Coturnix japonica: one gene and its partners. The protein of the gene in region 1 interacts with the protein of each later gene in a pairwise test. Links are inferred from orthologs where the notes say so. Each region holds a gene or a part of one and is shown on either strand. Other genes may lie near its edges.

What was found. The genes of interacting proteins can lie anywhere in the genome.
Region 2: the proteins of EGLN3 (region 1) and ATF4 interact in a two-hybrid assay, tested with the Homo sapiens proteins (2 studies listed by BioGRID). The link is inferred for Coturnix japonica from reciprocal best matches to the Homo sapiens genes EGLN3 and ATF4.
Region 3: the proteins of EGLN3 (region 1) and FOXJ2 interact in binary tests that used the Homo sapiens proteins (3 or more experiments, as listed by UniProt). The two-hybrid records come from large-scale screens. The link is inferred for Coturnix japonica from reciprocal best matches to the Homo sapiens genes EGLN3 and FOXJ2.

Annotation. Positions count from the first base shown.
Region 1 is NC_029520.1:32,322,820-32,330,180, forward strand, and holds part of EGLN3 (egl nine homolog 3), read right to left. Parts: intron 6,581-7,361; coding exon 6,461-6,580; intron 5,456-6,460; coding exon 5,319-5,455; intron 4,644-5,318; coding exon 4,570-4,643; intron 3,543-4,569; coding exon 3,505-3,542; 3' UTR 1-3,504. UniProt on the Homo sapiens protein: Prolyl hydroxylase that mediates hydroxylation of proline residues in target proteins, such as PKM, TELO2, ATF4 and HIF1A. Target proteins are preferentially recognized via a LXXLAP motif.
Region 2 is NC_029516.1:46,169,606-46,177,507, reverse strand, and holds ATF4 (cyclic AMP-dependent transcription factor ATF-4), read left to right. Parts: upstream 1-3,388; 5' UTR 3,389-3,592; intron 3,593-4,552; 5' UTR 4,553-4,650; coding exon 4,651-4,864; intron 4,865-5,396; coding exon 5,397-6,247; 3' UTR 6,248-6,335; downstream 6,336-7,902. UniProt on the Homo sapiens protein: Transcription factor that binds the cAMP response element (CRE) (consensus: 5'-GTGACGT[AC][AG]-3') and displays two biological functions, as regulator of metabolic and redox processes under normal cellular conditions, and as master transcription factor during integrated stress response (ISR).
Region 3 is NC_029516.1:68,472,457-68,480,574, forward strand, and holds the start of FOXJ2 (forkhead box protein J2), read right to left. Parts: upstream 4,515-8,118; 5' UTR 3,939-4,514; intron 3,242-3,938; 5' UTR 3,114-3,241; intron 1-3,113.

The DNA.
Region 1 (7,361 bases):
CTACTGGTTTCCATATCAATCCAATGCAAAGTGCCAGCATTGTTGACCAGCATACAACCTGACAAGAGAAGATGTAGTTATAACTCACTCAGATATCTGCTGGGAGTACATAACAGTCAAAGTAGAACTAGTTATTTGCCTGCAAATAGATACATTTTCTTCTAGATGCAAGTGGTGTTAGAGCCAGCTATTTTGCAACAGCAATATATATATATATATATATATTCCAACAACTTTACAAAATTCAGTAGGAAAGGACTAAAACTGCTTAAAGAGAAAAGAAGAAAAGAAAAAAAACCCAAAACAAAGTGGACCTTTTTGAACATTACTTTGCTGAGGCCATTTGTCATAGAACCAGAAGTAATCTAGAGAAAATTAGACTTATTAGAGGCTACTGTGCCCAAAAAGCCTGCAAGTTTTGTTACAGGTTCATTACAAATAGCCTCTGGACTAGTCAACTGTCTCCTGGCCTTTTTTCTTCCTGCACAACAAACCTCATCTATCAGAAACTGTGGCCTGGTGGCTCTGCATATTTCCCAATGTACCCCGATTTGAATGAAATTGCATTTGGAAAGGCAAATATATTTGCTAAAGAGCCACAACGAACTGCAGGATGTGTACATGTGGCAGGTAGCATCTCCACAAATATGAATAAAGAAGGCACATTACCTAAAAGTGAAAAGCTTTTGAGCACTAAAAATTAAATGCCTTTTCAAAACTGGATGAGAAGTGCCCTTTGGCCATTAATGTTTCAGCCACTTTGCCATGAAAACAAAACCCAGAGAAAGGAAAGAATCTCCTTGAAATGCCCTCTGCTGCCCCTAGAATTCTTACACAATTACATTCCAACAGAACAGTTTGCAGCTATGAGAAATCTATGTAGAAAACATTAGACTGGATTCCTACATGCCCATCAATCACCACACCGCCACCCAATTATATTACAGCATCTTTGAGGAGACCATTCCACTGACCTGGAAAGGGGGCAAAGGTCTGAAACAGAGGACAGGAATTGGTTTCAATATCCTGTGTCATAAACTGTTGTTTTTGGTTTTGTCTTTTGTTTTGTATTTCACTACAGTGTTAACAAAGAAGGCGGCAATGTTCTCTGCCACAGGATAATTGTTTTCTCTATCTAGACCAGGAAGATATAGGCTAAAAATGAAAACATGTACTTTATTTACAATAAATGCATCTATACTGTTCCAACCTCCATCCACCATGTGTTGCTGCTCACTGCTGAAGGCAGATGGTAGCTCTTAATAACCAAAGTACCTTTCTTTCCCAAACTTTATACAAGTCTTTTCCCCTTCCACCCTACCATTTTTCCACTGTTCCAGGCTCCAATGAGAGCTGTACTAACATCTTCCTAGTGCATCGTTTTAATGTTACAGTCTCCAAATACAAAGCGAGACTTGACCTGCTGTATTAAGCTGTCTTGGCCTCGCTTAAAAGTACACAGAAGTTTAAAACTCATGTTCCATTATCAATTTTGCATAGCAATACAACAAGATGAGATTTTTTTTTCTCCCACCTTTTAAATAACAATCCCCTCGTTGACCCTTTCAAAGAATTTGACACCTACCATCTTCCAAAGGGTTACCTCTCACACTTGGGGAACAGACCTAACTTTCTCCACACACAAACATTGAAGAATGAGAATTTCAAGTCATCATTAAGTTTCTTTCAAGTCTATGTTGCATTATTTAGATGCAAGTGAAGCAGAATAATGTTTTTCCTAACATTAAAGGACATCAAATTATTTGTTTTTTCCTAGTTTTAAGTTGTGAGAGTGTTTGTGACACATTCCCTCATATTCCTCCCCTAAGGTGCACAGTCAGGCTGAACAAAGTCCAGTCCACATGACGAAAGCTGGATCTCTGGGAGAAGACAGAGAGGTCGAGGGGTTTCATAGCACTACTGTATTTACATTCAAAATTCAAGAACAGCTTTTACTAACACAGAACTGCTTAAGAAATACACCATTTCTATTATCATTGTTTAGCATAAGGGAATTTTGTCCTTTGTAGCTGTCACCCTTTTGCAATGTAATAGCAGCTACTACACGCTTCCTGTTCACTCCCTAGCTGAGGTGCAACAGGCCCAGGCCCACTGACAGTACAACAGCCTGGCATGGTGTGGTTGACTGGTCTGGGGACCGGCAGCTCAGGAAGGCCACGTCAGCTACTGTGGGCAAGTGGCACAGAAAAAACTCTCAGCTCCATTAAGAGCTATTCCAAACTGCACAGTAAGTGCTTGTTGTGGACTGTAGCTTAAACACATTGGACATAACTCAGCAGTTACTCATTGAGTCTAAGTTTTTAGAAAATAATGGAGAAAAAACAAAGTGCTCTGCCAATTGAATAATCTGTTGTATATCTCATGGCTTGAACATAACAGAAGTAGTTACCAGGCATAATAGAATTGAAACAGAATCACTGTTTCATTCAAATTTCATACACATGCAAACAAAGCTAAACAAGTGTCTTAAGTAGGGATAAGCAGCACAGAAATCAACTTCATGTCAACAGTCATTACCATACATTTGTCAGACTGCCAGACATATTTCATTTCAGATTCACATCTGTGTCATACAAAATATGCTTGATGGAGAAGAGTCATTAAAAAGACATTCAGCTCTACCTAACTGATGGCCTTTAGAGCCAGTGCATTCTGCGCCATCAGCCTTCAAAGTTTACTGAACTTCTGGGAGGAAACAGATGCTTTAACAAACAGTGAAAATAGAAAACAAAACCAATCCAGCTCAGAACAGAAAGAGAATGCCTTTACAAAGGTGTGGACTGATGCATAGCCACTTCCCTCTCCAGAATGGGACAGAAAGGGAAGTGCAATGGCACAGCTCTAACAAAAGCAACCGAACTCCAAGAAATGTGATGAAAACAGAAGTCTGTTTGGTAACTCCTGCTACAGAAGAGCTGAGCCAATATTCCATACAGCAAAGCTGATGAGCAGTCCATGAACAAGCCCATGTGGGACATACCATAGAAGACCCTAAAAAAAATCCAGTTTAATATCACATTTCCAATATCTCTTCTTGCCCATCAGCAGTCTGCCACAGATTTTAAACTTGCAAAGCTCCTTTCCATTGAGCTAGATTTATATTTTTTCCCCAGTAAAGTGCAAATAAGACTCAAGTTTTTCTCACTAGTTCCAACAATTGTTACCTTGGTTACAAAAGTGATCAAAAGCCAGTTGGTCGAGCCACTACCACTAGGCTTTTTTTATTTTTCCCTTTTATTTATTTATTTTTAAATTAAAACCCTGGTTACTTGTTCCAGCAAAAGGCAAATAGAAAACAAAGGTTCCTTCTGCCAGATGCAGGCACGACAGGAGGCTGCCTTAAGTACCATCAATACAAGATGCACATGCTAGACAGAGACACAACCAGTGCGTTCTTGTGCATAACAAAAATGTGCCATGGTTCACTGGAAATAGAAGTCATCTTTGGGATCCTATTTCTTCACAAAGTTCAGAAATTGTTGATTAGTCTTCATTAAGAGCTGCTTCTCTCTTCCTTGCGTCTACATCAAAAAGACCAGAAAAATTAGAGAGTTAAGTGAGAAAGTTCCAGTAGCATTCATCCAAAAACACAAGCAGAATAAAGATGGTTTGTTTTCAATGGATAGCCCTTCCACTTGAGACTCTTGATAAGAATTCATCATGTAGGCTTAAATGCTACACGAATCCACAACATGTTAACAAGACAGTTCTACTAAGGTTTTGTATCGTTACCCTGTTGATGCTGAATATAAGTCACGCAGCATTTAAGTAGCCCAATTATCTTTCAGAGACTCCAGATTTGTGGTAATTTTTCCCCAAATCTTGGTCCCTTGCTCGTATTCCCATCTAAGAATGAAGTCTCCATTTGTTCTGCCTGCCAGCTACAGAAATGACATCTATTCTGAAAACCATTTGATTAATTATGGTTTTGATGGTCTCCATCTGAATAGCATACATTTGAAAAAGAATACTTTCAATACCACATTCTGAGGAACTGCCTGAAGCAGTCCCTAAAGACCAGAAATGAAACTGATCCAAACAGCAATGCTTTGAGCATATCAGGATCCTCAGTCCCCTACTTGTATGCTAGTACTTCAGTATCAGGTGCTGCAGACCAGAAAGCTGGAGTCAGGTCATCCTGGGGTTCCACAGAAATGTTTCTGGGATGATTTCAAGCCATCTGTGAAACCAGCTGAAAGCAGGCAGCTCATGGAAACCATCATTACCACAGCTACTCCAGCAAACTGTGCCAAAAGGTGTACTCCTATGTATTTACAAACTTTGTTTCCTTCTATCTTACATAGTCTACTCATTCCAAGGTTATTACGAACACACCCACACAGAAGTTACTCCTAAGGTAAAACTGACATCTCAGCTGTAGATTTAGAATAAAAATTTTAAAAATCACCTCTCCCATACTCCCCATTAGGGTTACTGAGGCCAGGCCTTCATTTTCTTCTTTCCCAACTGTCCTACTTCATATCTGATCACTAGTCCTAAAAAGGAAGGTCTTACTCTTCCAGCTACAATATTTTGTAAAACTCATACCGGTTAAGTTCCTGAACTTTTTTTTTGCTTCTGCTCTTTCTTCAGCATCAAAATACCACACAGTCATGGCATATCTATAAAAGAAAGAAATCTTGTGTTTGGTTCAAGTTTTGCTAATAAGTTTAGTTCTTATGCAGAAATCAAACAACAAAACAATTCATAAATTTAAAAAGGATACTAGTGGCACATATTTGAAGACAAACACAGATAGCCCTTCATATGTGTATTCAGACAAGTAGGACAGGAATATAGGTGAGAATTTCTGCTTGAAAGCATAAAAGAGTGCACAGCCCTTGGTAACAGAGAGCAAAATAGCTTACAGACCTCTGCATGCTTTTCTGTTCTGGGATGCCTTTAGGCAGCTTGGAGCCGCCCTATGTCACATCAGCTTTTCATAGCCTGGTGACAGACGGTAGCCCCAAGAATCCCTGTAGTGTTATGAGGGCAAAAGAGTGACCTAACATTTCCCATCTAAACAGCTATGCCCAGCTTGGAAGACTTCTGTCACTAGTGAAGGACTTTTTTTCATCACAACAAGTATCTTATCTTTCAAGCTTGCTATTCTTCATTTGATGAGAGAAATTCCAGTAACTGAAAAATATGAAATCTATTCAAAATCTGGCTACTTTTTACACACATATGTCTTAAATACACAGTAGCCCTAATTTTAGATACAAATGATGTGATATTGATAGGAGACATACTTTGTTTTTTCCTGGCAAAACTTCAGCATCAAATGTACTACCTACCTGGTTGCATAAGAAGGCTGGACTTCATGAGGGTTCCTTCGATCTGACCAGAAAAAAAGCAACCTGTCAAAAATTGGCTCAACATCTGCTACATAGGACTTCCCTTCTGGGAATATTCGAAGAATTCCACCATGGAGCTGAAAGAAAAGGAAGGGTTATTTGTTACACATATAAACAGCCACATATTGATGTGAGTAACAACATATTTTCACTTCCTCATCATCCAAACTGAGTAAACATTTAATGATAACCAAAGCAGCTATATGACAACACTGGAACTGTACACTGCATCTCCTGGCCACCTCAACTTTCAAACAGTTTGCAATGTTTCAGCATAAACATCAAGGGGTAAAGTAAACAATCCAAGAAAGAAAACAGTGGCATCTTGTGGTTTATAAACCCTCATTTTGTTTCCATATTAAAAGTATGGTAAATTCCAGGCTGACTTAATTGTTTTTAGTAATACAAACAGAAGCAAGAGTACCTCCCTGTCAGGAGACCCAGTGGTGATTAAGGATGCAGAGAACAAGCTAAGTCATGTGCTCATTCATAGATCATCCTGAGCTGGAAGGGATCCACTAGGATCACCAGACCTATCTCCACACAGGACCACCCAATATCTGAGAGCATTGTCCACATACCTCTTCAACCCCAGAAGGCTTGGAGCCAGGCTCTCTGGGGAGCCCATTCCAGAGCCTGATCACTCTCCATTGTAAGGAAGAAAACCACAAAAGCAACTGCATTAAGAACTTCTGTAAGTCTAAATGCTAGATTTGGGCTGTCATTTTATTCAGCTTACAGAATCCACTTACTCCTCAGGGGATTATGATTCTTTCTAGAGCTTCATTGCTCTTTTTCTCTAAACAAAACTAAGTGCCACAGCCCAGAGCTTACAAGTGCTATTCTATAATAACAAAACAACATGTGTGTGGGATGGGAGACAGAATGATAAGGAAACGGTTCAGATTTTTACTTCCAAGAGGTTGCTATAAACACCAATAAATGTATGTAAAGCAATGAAAAAATGGACAAGCTGTTCAAAAGTTCATCACAGTTTGCAGAATCAGCTGACTTCTCCAAAGCTCTGAAGTTTCTGAAGTAGTTGTAATTCATGCTCTGCCTTAGCCTTCTGGCTCACTCACCTTGGAGTCCCAGTTTTTATTCAGGTAATAAATACAGGTAATGCAGCGCCCATCACCATTTGGGTTGTCCACGTGACGCACATACCCAGTTCCATTTCCAGGATAACAAGCAACCATAGCCTGAAAAAAGATAAAGATTGTGGAAAATTATTTCTCAAAGATGCTCACATTTATTTGTTCTTCTCTGAGCTTCCTCCCACCACCAGTTTAGCTCCAAAAGCTGCACCAGGAGGATTTTTCACACACGCTTTTTTCACTGGGTAGATCAGTTAGCATGAAATTCCAAACAGGAAACAGATAACCTTCATATTTCACAGTATGCTCACCAAGACAAAAAAAAAAAAAAAAGCAAACAACAACAACAACAAAAAAAAGGTATTTATTATGCAATATTTTTGTTCTCTACAAGCTACGTGACTCTGAAGCCGTTCGAGATGAAGTTTGCTCGAGTTTCTAAAGCTGAGCAGTCATTGCAAAACTGAATTGCCAGTCATAATGAAAGTAGAAAGCGGTCCCAGGACATCATGCCTTACTACCTCTGTCTACTTTTCATATCTTCTAACCTCTGTCATATGCATCCCCCTGATCCAACACAAAGTGAGGTTCCCTAGGAAGGGTGGGTAGAAGTCCACAGAGCAAAATGTGCAACTTTTTTGTGCTGTGTTTGCACAGGGCAGCACATGTTTGTTTTCACGGACTGAGCCACAAAGCTACCAAACAGTTTTCAGAAGCTTTGATCATCTGTAGAGCTGCTGAAACAATCATTTAATTCATTGTGGAAATTTCACCTTGAATGATGAGATAAACTCAGTATGACTTATTCCAAACCACACAAGTGAATTCAAGACAAAGGGTCTTAAAAGGGTTTTTACAGCAAAAACATTAAACTTCAGAAACCACC
Region 2 (7,902 bases), on another chromosome or scaffold:
AGACCCTGCGGGAGTCCAAAGCACTCTGACAGAGCCACCATGGGGCCTGCAAACCCTCCTGGCTGCCCCATTCCAGTATTGCAGGAAGGGGCCACCATTTCAATCACTGCTGGTTATCTTCCTGGCCCTGGTAATGCATATCCTCCATATCCCCTCCTCACTCCCGGCTATGCAGCACCACAAGTGCCTCCCCCCCTTGATAGTCCCCGAGCGTCATATACAAGCCAGCTAGACTGTGCAGAGATGTTACTATGGAAACATTTACGTCTTCCCTTTGTGTATTTAATAACAGCATATGGCATGTTTATCTCCTGTATATTTGCTGATAGAAGAAAAAGTCTTTTCCTTAGCAGCATTAGCTTCTAAAATGAAAGACAGACAGAAAGAAGGACAGGCAAGCAGACAGTAAAAACAGCAAGCTCATACACTGACCTTCCATTTTAATGAAGAAGAAGGGTGAATGGAGGAGAATCAGTTTACCTCCTGGTGCTTTCTGCAGTGCTGCATATAACTGAGCATTTTGTCACTCCCCAACAAGGTCATTTTGGCCTCTATCATGCTGTGAGCTCTGCATGAGCATTTCCTCTTGCCTGCAGCTGGTCCCTCACTTCTGCATAGGGATGGATCCAACTTATCACAGGAGCCTATGGCAGGAAAATAACATCAGCAGAGCTAAAACTGTTAACGTGTCATCAGGAGTTTATTGACCATGAACGCACATTAATCTTCATTCAGAAGCCATCTTTTTGTGCTGCAAATTCAGTTTCCTTCAGAGCTATCAGGCTTCTCTCCACACATCTAAGCCACAAACATATTCTGCAGCACTGAAAAGGGAACATTTGAGTTAGCTAGTACCTATTAGCCCTTCGCTTAGAAAACATTTGCTATTTTATTTGCACAAAAAATTCCTAAGGAATGGTTACTTAAGCTTGAAGAATTATTATCCAGCTCAGTCACAAAACTCACTCCTCAAAGGAGAAAACTGTGATGTAATACCTGCAAAAGCAGAGACGTATTTTGTAATGGATTGAGACATGTCTCATTAAATTGTGTAACAATAATTCTGCAGTCTCTTTCAGGAAACAGGGAGAAATAACACTGTTACTAAATGTCTGGCTTTTTGTTACCTCATTTCACTTCCTGAATTGAAGATGATGAAAAAAAACCAAAACAAAACCCAAAACTGTTTGGTGCTCAAAATGTAGACAAATGTGCACATTTGCAAAATAAAAAGGGAAGCAGGCAGCTAGGAAACAGGCAGATCTGGGTTAAGTTCCTCATGACATGCATCATTTTTGCTTGCATAATTCTTACTCACACATACCCAGAGTCCTTTCTTCAAAAATATGTAATTACCATTTCAAGAGAAGCATTTCTGTTTATTTTGCTACAGTTACAGTGGTACAAACACCTTTTTTCTTTGCAGTTGGATGTGGGGGATGTGAGAGCCCTCCCTCGACCAGCCAAGACACAGAGATGCTGCCTCTCATCCACCCAAGCCAATCACCCACCAGGCTTCTTCAGTAGCTGCTGCATCCATCCTCTGAATTTTGCTTTGAAGCAAGATCTGCCTGCTCATTGGTGCACGTATCAGAGGAGTCATCTGAGATCACTCAGTTGCTATCGTGTTTTCTGATATTGGAGGGCATTTTTCTCTGCTGCCTCTTCCATCTTAGTGAGCCATTAAAAATCGATGCTTGATTCTAGAAAAGCAAAAATAAAACAAACACATTCACACACCCACAGAGAAACAAAAAAGCCACAAAACACCACAGCACATTGGAAAAGCTGTATTTTTACTTTCAGCAGCCAATGTTCAGTTTACAGAGCTGGAATGACATACATACCCCAATTTGTTGCAGTGATGGTGACATCCTGCTGCTAAAAGTAGAAACCTGGCCATGACTGTCCTCCCTGGCCATGCCCATCCTCTGGGATTATCAGTGGAGCTGTTTAATGAGTTCCAGGCAGGTATACTTGTGCAAACTGAGCCAAGGCCATGGCTGTACACAAATACTAACAAGCCCTAAATGGAAAACAAGGGAGCCTTTTGCAGTGGAGCCAAGAGGAGTTTATTGACAGGGTGATAATGTTTTGAGCAAGCAAGGATCCATGGAGGGGGGTTGGAGCTTGATGATCCTTCCAACCTAAGTCATTCTATAATTAATCTTCAGAGCTGATGGTGTGTTGTAGGGCTGGTAATGTGGGAAAGCAACCAAAGGCCAGGTAGTGAAAGAAAACATGGGTAGCAACCTTCCCAGCTCACCTTCCTCACTCAGAGCTGCATATGGTGCTTTAGTGTCCTCAGAGAATCACGAGGGGACTGAAAACATCTGTTCCCCATGGGTTTCATACAGGGCTAGGTGAGGACCAGAGGAGCTGCTATAAACATACAGGGCCAGACGTGATGGAGCAGGGCTGCCTTCTCATTTGGCTGATTTAGTTCAGATAAAACATAATGCAAACCTGCTTGAAAACCTTCCCAAGGTGAGGCTGTTTACTAGGGCCGTGAGGCTGTGTAGATGACCCACTAATGCTCTCCTCCATTGAGTAATGGCTGCTCTTGCATCTCCTCACAAACCACCCCAGGCCAATGTTACAGCTCAGCTACAAAGCTAGCAGGGTGTCAGGGACACAAACACACAGCCCTATCTCTGTGGGGCAAGTAGCAGGCAGGGAGTTTTCCACTTATCTGAGGGAGCAGTGACTCTCCTCAGCAAAGTTCTGCCCTCAACTCTGCTGGACGTCGTCTGGAGGGGCTGTTAAGAACGCACAGGGAGAGCGGACAGGACTTCGTGTGGAGGGCATAAAGAGCTGTCAGTAACAAAGGAGGCGTGGTGCTTCAAAGAGAACACGCCACGGAAATGTGAAGCAGAGAATAGAACCAGCGCCACCGCCATTTTACGGCTCCTCGTTCTCCGTGCCTCTCACCATCTCTCCCTTTTCGGGCGTCAGCCAATGGCGGCTCAGCGCTCACACGGTTACCACGCCACCAGCCAATCGGCGCGCAGAGCTCACTGGCTGTGTTGGCGGGCAGGAGCAGCAGCCCCCCCACATCCCCCTGCGCTCCGCGGCGGGCGGGAGGAGTGTCCTCAGCTGCTGTATCACGTGGCCTCCCATCTCGGCTGGGCGGTGTTTGCGCGGAGGAACACCATATAGTCCCTCTGTCTAGGAGCCCACGATGGAGGGAAAAGTTATTGCTGACAGCTTTTTTGGTTAATCTTTAGCAGGATGGAACGAGAGCGGCCCAGAAAGTTGAAGGTCTACAGGCTGAAGGGTGCTGACGAGAGGCGGGTGACGAAGAGCGGAAGGACACATCAGGCCGGATCTCGTTTTGATTAGCGTGAAGGTATATAAAAGCGGAGCGCGCGCGCTGCCACCTCATTGTGTGCCCTTGGCTGAGCTGACAGGTTGTAACTGTGACCGTGCGTAGCACCTCTCCGCGCGGCGCTGACCGGAGCACCAACCAACCCCCCCCCCAGCCGCCATGGCTCTCTAAGGGCGGCAGGGCCAGCGGCGGCATCGGCCAGTGCAGCGGGCGCAGCAGCAGCGGCGGCGGCCTCGGCACATCCCCGGCATCTGCAACCATGGCGTGAGTAGCGCGTGTGGGGAGTGCGCCTTGTGTGACAGCCACCCCCTGCTTCATAAAGCGGGGTTCTGGGGTGCGAAACGGACGCCCCATAGGAAAAGCTGTCTGGTTAATAGGGTGGGGGCTGGAAACCTACTTGAGGGTGACGGAAATGGCAGGAAATGACACTTTTAAGAGGAAAAATGAGCCATAATACCCTGTATTTTAGAGAAGCCCACATCCTGAAAGCTCAGGGCTGTTCTATTTTGTAAGGCTTTTGTGAGAATATTAGCTCCCTAGACGGTTGTCTTAGTAGTATAGGGGATTGTCTTTATAGAGGCGTTCCCACAGCGGATGGAGGAGTTAAACGGGGCTTCCAACGAGCGGGCATTAAGATAATCCCTTAATGCTACGGCGCTGCTGGCCGGGGGAGGAGGAGGGTTGTGGGGGGAGGGGGGGGGAATGGTGTCGAACCCAGCCTGATAGAAGGGTGTAAGGCTGTCGTGGTATTTATCATCCGAATCCACCTGGTCCATAAGTCAGCCTAGCACCAAAAGGTGCTCTGTCGTTCTATCGTCCTGTCACCTTCCCCTCCCCCCCACCCCTCCACGTTGATGGCGTTCCCATCGACACGGGGTGAAAACGTGTCACGGCACAAAATGGCGGCGGGGCCGGGTGGGGAGCGGTAGGCGGCAGATCGCGAAATGGCTGCGGCGTGGGCGTGACGTGAGTCAGGGCGCGGTGGGCGGGGCCTCGGCGGGGCGTGGGGCTGGCAATGCCGTGCTGGGCAATGGAGATGCGAATAGAAAAGCTTTTATGAAAGCAAACAAATAAAAAGCAAGAGTTTGAGGCAAACAGCCCTGAAAATGCTGCAGTCGTACAAGTCTGGTGCAACAGCACTCTCCCTGAGGCTGCGTTTTGTTGTGAAGGCTGTTTTTCCAGTAGAACAAGCACTGATGCATGCGAAAAATGTTTGTCTTACAGGTTTTTCAAGGCACCGCACAGCAGCACTGCTGTAGTCAACAAAAAGGCCCTCTCCTTGTCTACATCCTTTGACGTCAAAGCGCTAAAACCTGACCAAGATGAGCCTCTTGAACAACGAGATGCTGTTGGGGGAGTCCTCCCCCCTCAGCCAGCCGTGTTTGGTGGCTGAGGAAGGTCTGGGACTCCTCGATGACTACCTGGAGGTGGCCGAGCCCCTCGGTTCGCATGGGTTCTCCAGCGACAAGGCTAAGGCAGTCTCCTCCAATTGGCTCACTGTGGACAGTTTAGGCAACACCATAGATAGCAGCCAGGGTAAGGCACTAATTCATGTGCAGGAAGTAACACCAAAGGTGATGGCACATAATAAATAATGTAATCCTCCTGTTCAAAGATAAATTGCACGAGTTCTCTAAATGGAAAGGTAACATCACGTATGTGTCTTCTGGCCTGGGAAGCATCCATACAACACTGATTATACACAATAGCAAATGGCTCTGTAGTCGACCAGCCTGTGGAAAAATGACACTTGCATTGCCCTTTTAATAACATGCCAACTATTAAGAGTAGCCTTCCCTGGAAGAGGTCACAAGAAACAAGTGTGGTGGTGTGTTTCAAATAGGCCTGAATTCTTAGAGAGCTAAGACTAAGAGGGATGGAATGTCAGCAGCTGACAGATACATAGTATCATGCAGACTTCCCCAGTTCATAGTAGGGGGAAGGGGTCTGGTAGTCGATCTTTTTACCATTAAAAAGAATGGGGGAAGATATAACTATTTCTGGTATAACTGGTATAGAATCTCTGTGTTGGCTCATCGAAAAATATACTGTTTTTCTCCTTGTTTAGAGGATGCCTTCTCTGGCATGGAGTGGATGGTGGAGAAGATGGATCTGAAGGAATTTGATTTTGATGCCCTGTTAGGTATGGAACATCTGGAAGCCACCGTCTCACCAGACGACCTGATGGCCACGTTGGAAGACACGTGTGATCTCCTGTTTAACCCTACCACCCAGGAATTTCACAACAAAGAACCTCCACTCATACCTGATCTAATCACCAATCTCCCCGAATCTCCAATTGGAGTAGATCCCATGGCCCCATTAGGCTCCCTGTGGCCTTTTCCCCTCTCCCCAGGGTCTCTGACTTCTGTTCCAGACCATTCATTTAGTTTAGAACTAGGTAGTGAAGTGGATGTTCTGGAAGGTGAAAGGAAACAGGAGGCCCCCACCTTTCTGGTAGTGATCACGAAGTCAGAGAAAGAGGAGGAGAACCATTCTGATGATAGTGGAATATGCATGAGCCCAGACTCTTATTTGGGAACGCCCCAGCACAGTCCTACCAATTCACTTGGATCCCCTAATGACAACCAGTTCCCTGCAGATGCCACCCGTGGCTCTCTGCGTTCTAAACCATATGACCACCCTGCTGAGAAGGTAGTGTCAGCAAAGGTGAAAGGAGAAAAGAAAATAGATAAGAAATTGAAAAAGATGGAGCAAAATAAGACTGCTGCCACACGTTACCGGCAAAAGAAGAGGGCAGAACAGGAGGCTCTGTCAGGGGAGTGCAGAGATTTGGAACAGAAAAATCAGGCCCTGAAAGAGAAAGCAGATTCCCTGAGTAAGGAAATCCAGTACTTGAAAGATCTGATTGAAGAGGTGAGGAAGGCCAAAGTCAAAAGAGCTAGAGTCCCTGAGTAGGGTAGTCAGTAGTGTTTGTGTGCATGTATATATGCTTGCTGCTTAAGCTGTGTGGTGTCTAATAAATTATTTTATAGTAAACTTGCAATTTTGTGTGGTAACTGAGTATCTGTAAAATAAGGGTTTATACCATGTCGTTTGGGGCTTCAACCAGCTGGAATGTGCTGCTCCACCCAAGTGTGCAAATAGCATTTACTGTTAATGTGGTTCAAGTGATACAGTACATGTTACAGCTCATGTGTAGCTGAGAATACTTGCAGATATCTAGTAAAATGGAGGGGATCAAGTGGAGATAGTCCCAGATCTTGAATAGCAAAAGCAAAATCATAAAGGTTCAGCCTTACAAGGAGCCATGTAAGTATGTTTATAAATATGGTTTGGAGAAGTCTCTTGTGGGAGTTACTGGGTTTTGACAAGCTGATGGCTTCAAGCAGTTCCCCAGGGTGTTAATTCCTTCTCTCTTGCACTGACTTGTCCAATCATACTGCACAAGCATCCACATGGAGCTGGTGTGTCTGCAGCCTTTCAGGGGCAGCCAACAAGCTGATCTTATGCTGGTGCCCCTTGCAATGATGCTGTTTCCATACTTAGTAACTTAGTTAAGACTTTGCACTGGCTGGAGATTAGGGCTGGCTCTTCCTCTGCATGTTCACTTAGCATTTATAAGAGCATTGGATTAAGAGATGGGAGAAAGCATCTGAGCATTAGAGAGCCTCCTGGCTGATCTCACATTGGCAGGCTGCAGGAGCCTCTTCCTTTTCTCACAGGCTCAGAACAAATGTGGTCCAACAATCCCTATGGTTTACGTGCATGGTGACACCATTCCCAGAAATAGATTTTGGTGCACAAAATAGAGCCCCCAGAGGAAGCCAGTTTTCCTGTATATTTGGAAACAGTGGAATTTTCCCAGTCTGCGCCCTATAAAAACTCAGTATTAATAGCTACCTTCCTCTTTCTCATGCATTTAGAGAGACCCAGGTGCTCTTACTTCTCTTTGCAAACGAGAAGAGGAAAACGCTGCTGCTGAGGACTCCACCGCTTACCCCTGTGAATAACCAAAGGGGCAAAAATAACCTCCATTTGCAGTGCTGGAGTATGAAATGATGGCAAATGCTTCCAAAGAGCCCTGGCGGAAAGTCCAGAACAGCAGCAAGGACAGGATGTCCTTCAGGAGAGGTGTCTTCCTCAGCACTGTGCTGGTGGCAGGGAAATGTTGGCCATGTATTGTGGTGACAGAACCACCATGTTAATTTATATAGGGCAGAGGATCTCCAAAGCACAGGATGCCTGTTGTGAACTTGACTCCTCTGCATCACCACTGCAGTGCCTGGACAACTGGAAAAGAACATCCTCTTTCCCCTCCATTAATTACAAGTTAGTGGAGGAGATAAATAAGCTTTCTTGCATGCAAATGGTGCTGCTCAACTTGGCTAGGTTGCTGCTCAGCCCTGCCAACAGCTAATTCCTTAAGAACAAGGTGTATGTAACCCTGCAGGCAGAGCAACCGTCATGATTTCCATTTCCCCTGCCCCCAACAGTCAGTGGCTGGTGCTGTTAATCCTCTTTAATGTAACTACGGATAGTCATACAAACCTTTAATCCATCTCAAACCTACTAACCGTTCAGCCTGCTTCAGCTGGAGTTCCTGGTTTTGA
Region 3 (8,118 bases), on another chromosome or scaffold:
AGGCTGTCCATTAACCTGGACACAAGTCTCATTTTCAAAGATGTCTTCCAGACCAGAAGTGCTAGAAAGATTTCCTTTTTAAATTAAAGTCTTAATTTCAACGCATCATAAAGCAACAGTTTCTGCAAATTGAGTACTACAAAACACAGAGTTCTATCTCAACACCACCAGTTACAGTTAAGACTGGGAAAAGCAAATGGGAAAATGAGTCCAAAAGCATTTCATCTTTTGGTTGCTAATGACAGAGATGCAATTCCTGTCTGACAACTGTGTAAAATGAGATAATCATCTCAGCCTTGCTCTTGAGGGACAACTGTCCATATCACAGTTGCCATTAATCATATTTCCCTTCTGACACTTGAAGGGCCAAAGATCCAAACTGTGACACAGACTGAATTTCCCACTACATAAAGGTCAGCTGACATTTAGGGGAGGATGCAAAGATACCAGCACCTCTAGATAAAGAAAAAAACTGCTCCAGAGACACAAGCAGCATTAAGATCTATTTTTTGGGGGAGGGGGGAAAGAAAAAAAAAAGTACTGCATTTGTCAAAATCCTATTGGATAGGGAAGTATTATTAAAACCCCTTAAACTGTTTATTCTGTTTCAGTTGAAGCTCTCTGACTTCTGATTTGACCCTACACACTTTCAAGACAAAATCCAAGGAACTTACAGAATACATACTAAAATATTAATGCAACTTTCTAACCCTTCAGTAATGTAATCCTTTCCCCACAACTCTCCAGACTTTCTTATTTCATTTTTATCTTAGGACCTGACATACACTCAGTTCTCAAAGACAGATAGAGCGCACACTGGGCAGAACTATACTGCTTCCACTATAAAGTCAACTTTTGGATATATGAATGATCAAATTTATATGTACAAATCCATACACACATCTAAAAGTCTCCGTACTAAAATACTGATATCTTCGTTGCTTCTGCTGAAGCACTTACACATGAGAATTTACTATGTATCTATTACTTATGTATCTAAGCGTTGGCTTTAGAAGTCTAATCTATGTGTTCATGTTTAATATTCTTAATGTAAACTCTCAATGACATAGCACTTTCAGACAAATGCTTCTGTACAGTACCTTGCACTTCTATTTCAATAAACCATATTAATCATTTTTCTTTTAGATACTTTTGTAAAAAAAATAAATGACGCAGAAAAGCTGCAGTACTCCACCTCAGAAAAAGCTACATTTAAGGCAGTGATAAACATCTGATGCATATACCAACACTGTCAAAATCTATGTTCTCTAAAAATCACCTCCTTCTTTGAATGTATCAGTATATCCTGACTTCAGTACTGTTGTCTTTTAGACTGTGAAATTTTCATTGCAGAGATTGTCTTAAGTTTGTGTATGTGAGTCAGCACTGAATGCCCTGTCAGCAATTAACAAATAAATAGCAAACAATTATAATAATGCATATGACTTTCAACCCTGGATGTCTGTCATGAATAATTAAAGCTCTGACAGAAAATAAAAAAATCTTTAACATCATAACCAAGAGAGAAAAAAAGCATTTTATATACAAGAAAAAAAAAATAATCATTGAGAGAGCAAATTTTCCTAAGTCTGGCACATATACATTCTGTAAAGTGCTCTGGCACCCATCAGAGCCAAAAGCACTTGAAAAACTTCAAGTCATTACTGTGATGATGAATGTAGAGCAAGGTAAATTAACCTCCAGAGTATGACAAGTCTGTTAATCCCCCCCCCCCCCTCAATGTACAAAGGCCAAAAATGCCCTAGTTATCTCTTTCCTTGCACTAGATAACACTGTACTCAAAACAGGTTGATTGCATAACTGCAGGACAACAGGTAGGAGAGCATCTAACAATATCCACAAAATATACATACGCTTCTTGATTCAGTCCTCCCTCAGAAAGGGGCATCTTCTCAAGCTAAGGATAACTGTCAAAATTTTTAGCATAGATTGGGAATCACTTTGGATGAACCTGGAGGCATTTTCAGTTTGATCTTACTGACAAATTACACCAAGTTCTTTCTTCATGGACTCCCTGTTAACCACGGTGATCCCAAATAGATTCTGAAAGGGTTCCTGTCCTGTCCTGGTCAAGTGCCCTTTGATCTTGGATTTCCTCACTGCAGAACACAAACATAAATATCTCAGGTGAGATACCCTTAGACTCAATTCTTCTCCCACAGGAATCTGCTGTGGTTTCATTTGAGATGAATATTCTCTTAAACTTGTTTTTTTTTTAGGAAATCACTTCAGTGTCAGAATATTAATTTGAGACTGAAATTAACTGTTTCATCTACAGAAAGCAACCTGCTTGGCTCACCACAGCATCAGCATTACCATTCACATTCCTAGCTCCCAAACACAGCATAAAACACACAGGAAGACTACAGAATGGCTTGGTTTGGCTTTCAGATCAGGTTCCACTAGCATTATTCCTAGGCCCCAAGCCCAACAGAACCCACTCTCAAGGGCAATCATACCAGAACTCATCCTGCAGTCTCTAGGTACAATAGGACAAGTATCCCAAAGTACTACCTCTGAGATCTGTATGTCCAGCTTCCAAGCATAGTAGTTTGCAGCCCATATTTACTTCATTCCCATAGTAATCCACATTGTAGTACACAGATGGAGAACTGATGCTCCAACCCCATGAGCACAACCTTGAACACCAGTACTACTACTCACCATTCCTGTCTACAGAATGTCTTGTGTTGTTTAAAAACATCACCCTTCTCAAAGACACCTAAATGGCTGGTGATGATTAAAGGCCTAGGATGAATACAGCATTGCCAACAAGTGTAAGGGAGAGGACAAAGGTTTCTTACAATTGATTAGGGTTAAGGTATCCAAGAAGACTAAACAATGAAAGAATCAGATCAATTCCATGTAGTGTAAAAGATTGCCAAATGAGAAAAACCCACACAAAAAGGCTTGAGAGAAGTTCAGAAAGGAGAGGAAAAAATAATAATAATAAAAAATAATAATAATAAAAAATAATAATAATAAAAAATAATAATAGCAGATACAGTGAGAAAAGAGACATTGGAAATAAGGATAACACTTAAAAGAGAAGGTCAGATACAAATAGGAGGCAATACAATGTAGTCACTCACTTTGTCTGGAAGATTTTTCAGAGGGAGGCAGATTATCTTCACTGTTGATTTCTGGGGGTGCTGTTCTTCACACTTCTTCTCTGAGAGCCATCCTCAGAGAGTCTTGTTGACAGCTATTCCAAGAGCTTCTTCAAGAAATATTTTGAGAGCAAGGGGATTGTGAACGAAACCAGAATCTTGAGTATTAAAACAATCTGCTCGGGATCTTCACTCCCCTGAAACTGCTGTTTTTATCCCTGGATGGAGATCCTCTCACTTTTGGCAGCTAACTACTGTCTCCCTGGGGAGAAAGCCTTGTCTTTTCCTCACTGGCTGCCAGGCTGGGGATATTGATCTTAAATAATCTCCCTACCTGGAAGTCTCTCTTCTTTTTCCTGTAGGCGCACCTTGTCCTTAAGGGTGGGCAGATCTTTTTCTCTGAAAGAATTTTTGTCAGTTCTGTAGACAATATCAGCAAAAACTGTGTAAAAACAGTGGCAGACAGCAAGGGGAAAAAGGAGTATCCAAATCTGGTTGTGCTTTCTCTCCCTTGTTTTACTTTCTCTGCCGTCTACTGACCAGATGTAAATAATTAAAATTATCTGGTAATTATCTGGAGCTCCTGCTTATTTCTATTTTGGAAACTGCCTCCCTTGAGCATTTGAAGATTCTTCTGTAGAGGCTCCCTGCTTACTATCTGATCTAGGGAAGAGGCTATTAAGGGCTGGCTCCTCTCTTGAGGAAAGAATCCCCTCACCCAGCAGCTCCGAAGTAAGGGGGAGTAGGTAGTCACGGTTATTCTTGCAAACCTCAAAAACTGGGGAAATGAGGATCCCTCTCACTTACATAGGTATCAAAGGATCTCCAGGAGGTTCTCTTCCACTTCGAGGTTAGAGTAGATTTGCTTCTCTATCGGGATTTGCAGCTGTGCCCTGTGCCCACCCTCAGCTAGTTAGCGGGGTTGGGAGCCACTGCTAGGTTCCCCTTAGCTAGTTAACGTGGAAGGGGCCGGCAGGTCCACCCTCGACAAGGGCCCACCGGGTGCTCCGGCTGCGAGCAGGGCTGCCCGACCAGGTGCTTCCCTCCCGGCTACGGATGGAGCAGGCGGGCAGTCTCTCCCCCACCCCAGCGGAATACGGGGGTGTTCCCCCACCCCGGCTGCCCGGAGGCCGTCCCTGGCTTCCCCCCAGGCCCCAGCTCCTCTTGCCCGGGCCCGGCTACCACGGGAGGCCACAGCGGCTCGCGAAACAGAGCAATTGCCTCCGCCGCCTTCTGCTGCGCCTCAGCTTCGTCCCCAGAGGGCTCCCCGGGCTCCGGGGGGCCCCAGCCGAATGGCGCTGAGTCTCTCCAGGCCCCACCGCTCCCGCAGCTGCTGCTCCGGGCTGCGGCTCCACTGCAGGCCCCGACTCCTCCCCGGCCTCCGCTCCGCCTCCCTCAGCTCCCCTCAGCCGCTGCCACCCCCGCCTCCCCGGGTTAAGGAGGCGCCGGGCTGGGGCTGCTGCGGCCGCTGTGTGCGCGCCCACACTCGGTGTCCGTGGAGAACTGTGTGCATAGTTTGGCCCGAGAAGCCTGGATGCACGCTCACAGGACAGGGACACGGGCACCCGCTGGCAACCCAAACTACTCCAACATCGCCGTTCCACCCCAGGGCCTTGCTTTGCCCCAGAGATACCTGTAGGTTTTTGGACCCTATAGGCCCTTGGGACACTGACACTACTTCTTGTTGCATCTCCCAGCCTGCTGGGACAGCTGTTGAGGCCCCTGCATAACTGTCACTCACCCAGACAGTGTTCATCTGCTCCAGCTTTAGGACACGACTCATCCCACCCACCTGACACTGCTTCTAAACAGTCACCAGCCACTCGCCTTCACAGCCCCCACACCTCTGGCAAATGACCTGCTGCCTGGGGTGGGCCACTCCCCAGCATCTTTTTGGCAGAAAAGCTCATTTTGGAGACACAGAGTAAGACAACTGCCCATTATTCTAGAAAATTAAAGGAGACTTTCCAGTGAAGTAAATCATATAATAGGGCAAATACTCCACAATACATGTGGGAGAAAGAACAGCCATTGTATGGGATCCCCCTTAATCAAAGGCCAGTGATGTAGGCAGACCACTACCACTCAGACATCTGAAACGTACAAACATGTAGCAGACTCAGGTTCCATGCCTTACGTGAAAGATTCACTGTATTTTATAATCTCTTCTTTCCATGGCTAGTTTCATATTTGCATTTCTCTGAACGCTGACTCTGCTATAAGGCATGGAGACATTAAGCATGAGTAGGGGAAACACTGCATTTTCTGAGTAGATTTTATCTTCCTTGAACTGCAATATGAGAACTGTTCAATGGTAGAGGGACTGCTGTGAGACATACTGCTTCCAGAAGTAATGCCTCCTATTTTATTATGTTGGCCCACGATGTCAGAGGTGGATGTTGGCAGAACGGCAGTAGTGGCTGAACTATCCTAACAATATTCCTTTAGATTCTGTTGCCATGCAACAGATGGAAGCACAAGGGAAGTTTGACAGAATGGCGTCTGACATGGAAGTGTGTATGAAGCAGAAGTATGTCATTGAATTCCTCCATGTGGAAATAAAAGCACTCATTGACATTCATTGATGTTGAAAGTTAATGGAGACCAAACAGTGAATGTGAGCACAGTGAGACAGTAGGTGGTGCATTTCAGCAGAGGCAACAGTGGGTCACCTCTACTGGCGCAGGTTTTGATGAGCATGGCATGCAAGTTCTCATTCATTGCTGCTGCAAATGCATGGTTAATGATGGTATGTTGGAAAATATTGTTTTGTAACTGCAAATTTGCTCTATCAAGCAGAGTTACTGAGCTCATTTTATCTTTCACAGTTTCCATGGCAATAAATATGAGAACAACCTACATACATGCAGTCCAAGAAAATTTTTCACTCAGTGCGGCCCAGATAAGCCAAAAGGTTGGGCATCCATTCCTTAGGACACCTCTTAGAGCTAGGTGTTATTCATTACACTCTGCTATTTCCATACCAAGCCCTACAGTCCTCCTCTATATAGGATCTATGTCCATATTGTACATTGGCTCCTCATTACTCAAGAGACAAGACAGAAGCACTGTTTTGCTGGGAAGCCCTGATGAGAGAAGAAAGGAAGACCCAGGGAACTACAAGCTGAGGCTCACTTCTGTGCCTGGGACAATCATGGAGCAGATCCTCCTAGAATCTATGTTAAGGCACATACGAGAGAAAGAGGCAATCTGAGACAGCCAGCATAGCTTCACCAAGGGCAGATTGTGTCTGACCAATCTGGTGGCCTTATATGATGGACTGATGGCATCCGTGGACAGGGGAAAGGTGACGGATGTCATCTATCTGGACTTCTGCAAATGCTTTGACATGGTCCCTTACTGCATCCTTCTCTCTCAATTGGAGATTTGAAGGATAGACTGTCCAGTGGATTAAGAAATGGTTAGCTGGCCACAGCCACAGGGTTATGATTAATGCTTCTGTGTCAGGGTGGAGGCCAGTCACAAGCAGTGTTCCTCAAGAGTTGGTCTTGGGATCAGTGCTCTTCAACATCTTCATCAGTGACATAGATGATGGCATCAAGTGCATCCTCAGCAAGTTTGCAGATGACACCAAGCTGAGCGGTGCAGTTGATACACTGGATAGAAGAGAAGCCATCCAGAGGGACATAGACAGGCTGGAGAAGTGAGCCCATGAAAACTTAATAAGATTCAAAAGCCAAGTTCAGGTGCTGCACTTGGGACAGGACAATTCCAGCTATTTACACAAACTGGGGGAAGATCTCCTTGAGAGCAGCCCTGTGGAGAAGGTCTTGGGGGTCCTGGTAAATGAGAAGCTGGACATGAGCCAGCCGTGTGTGCTTGCAGCCTGGACAGCCAACTATATCCCGGGCTGCATTAAAAGAGGAGAAGTCAGCAGGGAGAGGGAGGTGATTGTTTCCCTCTACTCAGCTCTTGTGAGGCCCCATCTACAGTACTGTGTCCAGGCCAGGGGCCCCCAACACAAGAAAGACACAGAGTTCTTGGAATCGGTTCAGAGGAGCACCATTAAGATGATCAGAGGGCTGAAGCACCTCTTCTGTGAATAAAGGTTGAGGGAACTGGGCTTGTTTAGCTTAGAGAAGGCTCTGGGGAGACCTCATTGTGGCTTTCTAATATTTGAAGGGAACATATAAGCAGGAAGGGGAAAGACTGTATCTGAGGGTGGACAGTGATAGAACGGGGAGGAATGGTTTTAAACTAAGCTAGGAGAGGTTTAGGTTAGATATTAGGAGGAGGTTTTTCATACAGAGGGTGGTGATGCACTGGAACAGGTTGCCTGAGAAGGTTGTGGATGCCATGTCCATGGAGACATTCAAGGCCAGGCTGGATGTAGCTCTGTGTAGCCTGGGCTTGGTTGGTGTCCCTGCCCATGGCAGGGGGGTTTAAAACTAGATGATCATTATGGTCCTTTTCCACCCATGCCATTCTATGATTCTATTATATCACTATAAATCTTGACAGATGGATCAGGGATGGTTGGCACTTCTGATGTCTGTGAAAGTACAGGAGGTGGCTTTGGTTCTTTGCAATTACAACAATGAAACTTAGGATATTTGGAAAGGAATTATCTTTCCCATCGTGGCTAGATTTCCATTCCTTCCATTTACAACCAGTAACAAGCACACACCTCAGCAATCTAGTAATGCATAACATGCCATCTAGCAGAACAGCATTCTAACATCCCTGAGGGCTGTTTCCTTTTTCAAAACCACGCCTTAATAGAAGTTCTGGTATTTTGGTATGTAAATATAAATAGGAATATACTTTTACAGCTAGTGTTACCTTGCTATCTTGAACCTTTTCCATAGCATTTTGTAGAAATGACATGTACACCTTTTGTTTTTTTAAGGAAAAAATGTTGGGTCTTAAGCAATTAAGAGCCAGGGGTTTAGAATCAAGCGCTTTAAATACATGTTTTCTTCTCAGAAAGGGTAGTCAGACATTGGAATGCACTGCCCAGGGAGGT